2 linked regions of the Drosophila melanogaster genome follow. The protein of the gene in region 2 interacts with the protein of the main gene of each other region in a pairwise test. Each region holds a gene or a part of one and is shown on either strand. Other genes may lie near its edges.

Region 1 (3,757 bases), on a different chromosome or scaffold from region 2:
CTAGGTACAAATTAAAAATATTTTTATTATAATACTAAAAACCATTTAATTAATAGAATATTACTTTAGTTTGTCTTAATTCAACTACAAATTTGTTCTCAGCGTATGACAGCTGAAAACAGAAAGATAAACGCGTTTCTGGCTGTCGAAACTCTTATTCCATTGCTGATAGCCTGCTCACGTGCAGTGTCTTCGGCTCGCAACACTCGCACACCCGCAACACTCGCACAGTCGCCGGCACACACACACACTGGCACACGAAGGGGAGCGATTGGATTTCCGGCGGAGATGAGAGCAAGCTACGTGGGCGGGGGGAGTGGCAGGTGGAGTCTGGGAGTGCCAGGAGCTGTATTTGGCCGCCAGCATTTTCCGATGTTGCCGCTTACTTTGTAAGTGTGCGTGTGTGTGCGTTTGTGTGTGTGTCTGGGCGGCTGACGTCATTGAGCTTTTTATTGATTTTCATTTTAACCAAAAAAAAAAAAGAAAAAACAAGAAGAAAACATACTTGGGCTAGGACGCAGGGCAGGAAGGCCAACAGATGTCATCCAAGAAAAGTCGAAATGCGCAATTAAAGAGAGAGAGAGAGAGACTGCAAAGGGGGCTTTCTCGAAGGAAGTTTTTGACAAGAATTTCTTGGGGCCAGCGAATGCTGTGTTGTAAGGTAATTACAAGGAAGAGATGCTTTACAATTTCTAAGAGTTAACTTTAGTTGATTTCAAGCTGCACGTGAATAAAAGCACTTCAAATACAAGTGAAAGCCCACAAACGTATTATGGTGTAATTTAATTTATTGTTTGCAAGCTCAACTGCGTAATCAGGCTGTTTATATAAGTGTACACATATAAACCTGATGTATTTTGATTTTTCTATTATTGTTTGTCAAACAATCGTTATGGCTGATTTTGTTATTTTTGTTGCCTGGTGAAAGCTATGGAAATTAGGTCTATTTGCACAGGCAATTAAAGACTGCCTGGTTTTGGATGAGCACAAATTTAAATTTAAGTTGAATTATAACATATTTTAAAAAAAAATTATAATTACTTAAGGCATTGGTTATCATAACAAAATATTGTGCTACATCACAAACAAAATGCATATTTGTTCGAAAGGGTGTTTTTAAAAAACTTCTACCTCTGTCATATAAATTTAATTAAAAAAAAGTATGTGATTTAATTGAAATTAAAAAAAAATTCTTTAAATTTATTTTACAACAATGATTTTAATACGTATTTATTTTAATAGAAAAATATACATATTTTTGAAAATCTACATCTACAACTAAAGCGACACCTGCCGGCGCGCCACTACAATTCAATTGTGCGGCGAATTAGAAACTTCGCTGTATTAGCCAAGGCAACCACCGGAAATAGTCATAAATTTAGCCGATTCAGCTACCATTGTACCAAAGTACGCCTTTCGTCTTCTCTAAAAACCTGCGCAGAATTAATACGCTTTCTATCTTTCGCTCTTCTACGGGATATGTCAAAGTGACAAGACCATTAAGGCAGACAATGTGAAAGCTATATAAGCGACAAGAGAGCGAAAAACAAACAGATAAAGATAAAGCCACCCCCAAAAAGCCGCCCCTTGCCGTAAAACACGGACCCCCACCAAATGGAAGACAGCCAAACAACCCCCGAAAAAGCAAGGAAAAAATTCAGGAAAAATACCTGAATGAGATTATGATGGGCCTTGAACGAAATGCAAGGGCCAGGGAAAATTGAGAATTTTATTTCAGGCGGGGGGTTAATATTAAGGAGATGCACCACCCACAACAAGCACTTAATAACAAATGTGTGCGTGTGTGTGGGCGCTCTCGCAGGACTTCCGTTCGCTCTTTTCTACGCTCTCTTGGATGCTTTTTGGATCTGCGCGCAGCAATCTCAACGAGATGGGGCGAAAATCTCTAATAAGGATGCCCGATGATGAAAAATTCATGGCCTGGCATCGCACGCATCCTGCGCTGGCTCCTGAGTAAACGAAAACACTCCGACTCAGTCACACGCAGCGAACACAGAGGCCAGCGATATATATAGTGAAAACCCCGAAAAATATAGCCAAATTGAGACCAATATCTGAAATTGTGCGATAAATAAAACGCTGCATACCCCGCAGGGCGCAGCCAACTTATTCCGAAGCCAAATCGAGAAATTCTTCGAAACGCGAGTGCCACCAAAAATTTATTGTTTCGAATTCGCAGCCAGTGATTGTATAATTTCCATTGCTTTGCTATTTTTACGGGTGTGGGCCGTCCAACGGCAGCGGCAAAGAGGATATATCTATCTACATATATCTTCCAGGATATACGGATTAACCCAATCTGCGCCAGAGATAATTACCGAAAATCGACAAATTCCCGGGCATAAAAACTTAATTGACTTGAATAAATAATTTCCAACCCGAGTTGTTGTTGTTTGTTCGCCTACGGTTTTTTTCGGTGAAAGCGAATGCGGGCCCAAAGCGGAATCGGAAAAAGTTACTGAAATACAACGGCAGGAAAAAAAAACGAATACATAGAGAAACTGCCGCTGCCGTTGCCGCCTGTGAAAGCAAAGAGAAGGGGGTGGAGAAGGAGCGTGGGCAAAAAGAGAGCGAGAGGAAGAAAGCGCGGAGGAGGTCGCGGAGTTGGAGAAAGGGGGCTCGAGGAGTAAGAGAAAGCAGCCATTACTGCGAAAGAGAGCCAGAGTCGGAAGAGAAAGTCCAAGAGACAACATCGCAATTTTGTGGAAGACATTCACAGTGGATGGAAAATTTATAAACAAAAGTTAAGCCCTTAAGAGAATGCTGACAAAATAAAAAAAAAACGCACGATAAATATATTTTAGAAATGTAACTTAAAAGAAAAGACTCATATCAACACATATCATTCTATAGTCTATAGAAAATATTAAATAACTAAATATACAACAACAAAAAAAGCTGAGACAAGCAGCTAAATAATTCCAGCAATTACCTAAAAACCAAAACGATATTTTATTGTCTTAAAAGAATAGAAACCAATGCGATAACCATACATATCATGTAAATCGTTTAATGCCAAAAGGTGAAATATGAAAAGTATATTAAATTAGCACATTTAAAAGAAATGTAATTCAAGAAATTAAAAAAATCTACGAATGGAAACGTAAACATATCATGTAAAACGCCTAAAAAGCTTGCTGAATCCCTAATCAAGCTTTTTTATCTTATCAACAAAATAAAAAACAAAACAAATGAACTAGCCTAAGGAGAGTTGTGCAAATTATCGCATACATATCAAAGCTCTTGCAAAGAGCAAATATAAATATTAAATTTACAATTATCTAAGATCTAGTTACCTTAGAAAATCCAAAAGAACAGTAATTTTTGTTAGAAGTTTTACATTAGTTGTCTCGAATATAACAAGAGAGAGATATATACATACAACAATATTGTCACATATCATTGAGGAAGCCTCAGCAAAAGTCTAAAACTATAACGACTAGAAAACATATCAATTAAATTAGACTGCGTGTTTATGAATGCTACGCGAAAATATTAATTACTTTATCAAGCGGACCAATTGCAAATGACGAGAAGACTTCATTGAATTCCAGACGACGGATTGAAAAATAACTAAAGTTCTTAAAAGGTAAGTTTTCACAATAATGAAACCATTAACTGAAAATGGTGGGCTTCTGTGGAATAAACGTAAAGGATTGTGTCATCTGAAACGATATATTAATATTAATTAGAAACAGAATATAACATTTTGCTATGATGTTTCCGTGCATTAGTC
Region 2 (3,757 bases):
AGAGACTAACAATAAGTGTTCAAATCTTAATCTAACTTAATTAACTTTCACTTAGTGATAGTTTTTTTTTTTCATTAATGCCCTAATAAGTTTATTGCTGGGCTGGGAGGTCGTTGCGGTGCAGCCGGCTTTGACTGCATACTCGGATTAGTTTTCTTGCGAGGGGATTTGTATGGGTGGTCAGCTTTTCGTTATACTTCGTTTTTTTCTCAGCTATTACTTCGATTACTAATTTGATTTTTAGGTCTCTGTGTATGTTTTCGTTCCGAAGGTACCACGGCGCTCCAGTGATAATTCTCAGAATTCTTGACTGTGCTCGCTGAATAATGTCTATGTTACTTCTGGATGCGTTGCCCCACAGCTCGGAGCCGTTTCCTTTGCTAATTGTTCGCCATGCACTCGAGACTTTGTAGTGGCTTGAAACAAAGCTGAACAGCAGCGGCCACGAAAAAAGTGTCGTACGCTCCACAACGTAACAGAACCAAATTGGTAAGAACCAAGTCGCATGCAAGCTACTTTGTTATGCTGCATTGCCCATCGAAGTCACCTGATTGACAGCTCATAAAAACATTAGGGGAAATTAAGATTTCAATAGGGTTTTCGTGTGCCATTAATCATTTTTCTGTTAAACCACCAAAATTTCTAAACAATATGTTAGATAGTTCCGAATAATATAATGTTTTCTCATTAGTATTTGGTACTAAAAGTGGGTGTGCAATACATATATTCTTAAAATATATTTTCACTGCAACTATTTATGATCTTTTTCCCCAGATGGAGGGAGAATCGTGTGCTGGCCAAGATTGATGCCTGTTTTACAGTGACAGCCCTGATGGATCTGCGGCCACTCTGGTGGCTCATAAATCTTGGCGATTCTTTGGCTTCGGTGGCAGTGACAGTGGCGACTTTCGTTTGGCGGCTGGCCGATTATATAATTGCCGAACGCTGAAATCGCCACTCTCACAGGCAGCTTAATGAACTGAAATTTCACTGCAATAAACGTATTTTACTTAGGGCTTTTGTTTATGTTTTGTTTCTTTGTCTGCTGGCTCACAACTCGTTATATTACACCAAAAAAATACGAAATTAAAATACAGAGAAATTTTGGGAGCTGCAAGAGAGTCTCAGCAGCTTTGATTGGAGACCTGTCTTACCATTTAATCGTCGTCCAACTTGCTGGTGTGCTGGCGATAAAGCCAGATCTGAACGATCTGCATGGCGGGCTGGCAAACTCCAGGCTTTGGCCAAAGAAATCTGCGTTGGCAGGAGCAGACAGATGAGGCCTGCTATAACTGCCGGCTGCCAGTCCATTTTGTATAGTTAGTATTGGCCGCCCCTCTCTCCTAATCTTCGATGTGGATTTATATTATATTGTATGTTCACTAGCACCGTTAGATGAAATCGGAAATCTGGAGAAACCAAAGTCAGTAGCACACACACACGTGATTTATATACGTTTATCGGCACGCACAAGAACAACGGCGCTTTGTTCCATTTTCAAATTCTATTTTCCAAAAAACCCGAATCGAAAACCCGCACGAATATTGTTTGTTGTTATGGGTAGGTGATTATGTGGATGCACTGGCTCCTCGGCGATCTGCTCACGACCAAGTTCAAGGTAAGATTAAGCCATGACGCGCATACGTAAGAAGTTTTATACCAAACCGCGACTTAAGAGAGTTGCGATGTGAAAGCGCTCATGGAGCGGCTCTTTGGAAAGTTGGCAGCCGAGGTGGCCAAAAGCGGCTCTCTTCCAACGGCCAGGTAAATTGGTAAGTTGGTAACTTGGCTACCCACCTGGCTATTGACTTGTTGTTGGCCGGTGTGGATTTTAGCAAATGTGCGGCATGCACTGAACAAACGGATCAATTAAGCTGTCCGCTATGCGCATTTTCAGTGTCACACTGAATGCGATACTCCAGGAATTCTCTCGGCAATTCTCTGGTGGTCATATGTAAACCATCGAACTTTGACTTGACCTAAACGCAGGGAGCGAACCGGCAAGTATTGTGTTAGCAACATCTCTTTGTAAACAAAAGGTGCCTTGGGTTTTAAGCTTATCCCCAACAAAGAAGCTTTGATTTTCATTGTTTTTATTTATATTTTATAATAAATCCACTAGTTAGCCTATTTAAATCCTATTAACCTACGATCTATGCTTGTTTTGCACAACTCATTTGCTCATTTATAATCAATTATATCTAAAAAGACCATTAGTGGCCAACAAAAATATAAGTTTTGTTTACTATAAATAAACCAACTCAAATGAAAATCTATTGCAGGCTCAATCATTTTCTATTAAATCAGTAACCAAGTTTTTTTTGCAGATAACTGAATAATCTGCATCAATCCTCAATGAATGCCATGAATAACCCACAAGTCGAACTCTTCTTTTCACTGCCAAGAGTGACATATGAACTCCTGGATATCATTGGAAAGTCGATCGTGAGATGCTAATCCTGTGGCGAAATGCTTATATGGTAGATGCAAATCCTTTATGGGGTCAAGAAGTTGGTTGCTCCATGGAGATTTTCCTCGCAGCAGCAAACAAATTTCAACCCACATGAGTGAGCACACATATATCTTTAACATACCCCTTCATCACTTTTACCTTTTCCCTAACGAAATTCATTAGCACCTCGCGTGTATTGCATCAACAATTTGTTAACCAAATTAAGCAAGTTAAGTTTAGGCAAACTGAAAGACAGTTGCATCATTGATAAATTCTGGCTGAGGAGAGACACGTTTCTTCACCTGTCGAGCAAATGAAAAATGAAAGTTTTTTATCTCTTTACTTAGGTTGTGTCCATAACTGATTTGGATAATTCGCAAACTAATGCTATTTGTGTGTAAGGGCTCGGTCTGCATCACAAGCTGATCTTATAGAGAGTACATATCATGGGACGCCCTCACACAACATTGACACGCACAAAAAGAAAGTTTGCACAATTTATTGATATTTTCTGATTAAAGTGTAAAAAAAAACGAGGTGTGACCGAATCGGGTCCCCAATCCCATTTGGTCAACGCACTCGCACACTGCTCGAATTTTTGATTAGCCCCCGAATTACGAAATTATCCATTGTGAGCGGCGAATTAGCGAAGAATTCGTGATGAACGCTCATTTATACGTATATAAGTAAGTTGGTATATCTCCCCCCCCATATCATATATCAATTTCACTTTCAGCGGACAGGCGACAGGCAATTAAGGAGACATAGGGCTGCCAAAGATGTCGCCAGGGTTGGTTGGTTGTTTGGTTGGCTGCCTCGTCTGGTAGCCATAAGGTAGCTGACATACCCGTTCCCAGGCCATGTCCAATTATCATGTTAGAAAGAGAGTGAGAGCAGCCAGATACGCTGACAGCACGTCCCCAGCCCCCAACTCCCGATACAGGCTCATACATGGGAAGAAATCACTATAATTAATGTCTTTCAAAACTTCCAATTCATATTTTCATAAAGCTTTACATCAACACTTTACATGCCAGATATCGTATTTTAAAAATTAATTGAATGGAAATCACATTTCTTTGCATTTCCAAATGTTGCGATTTTAAAATTACAATATGGCATTTAAGTCAAAGATGAAATGCTTTCAAAACTGGTAGTGCATCTATATACAAACTCAAATACGATATAAAACTCAGGATTTTTTGACTAGATATTAAAAAACAAAACTATACAATCTAAGTACTTTACAAGTTATCTAAGTACTTTACTTTTAGTACCCAACATTATTGAGTTTTTCGTTTTGTG

The links. Proteins that work in one complex are often made in the same cells at the same time.
Region 1: the proteins of CG12017 (region 2) and cpo interact in a two-hybrid assay, tested with the Drosophila melanogaster proteins (one large-scale study listed by BioGRID).

What each region holds. Positions count from the first base shown.
Region 1 is NT_033777.3:17,917,860-17,921,616, forward strand, and holds the start of cpo (couch potato), read left to right. Parts: upstream 1-1,972; 5' UTR 1,973-3,610; intron 3,611-3,757. UniProt on the Drosophila melanogaster protein: May play a role in the development or function of the peripheral nervous system by regulating the processing of nervous system-specific transcripts.
Region 2 is NT_037436.4:3,278,116-3,281,872, reverse strand, and holds the start of CG12017 (uncharacterized protein), read right to left. Parts: upstream 1,635-3,757; 5' UTR 1,312-1,634; coding exon 1,155-1,311; intron 1-1,154.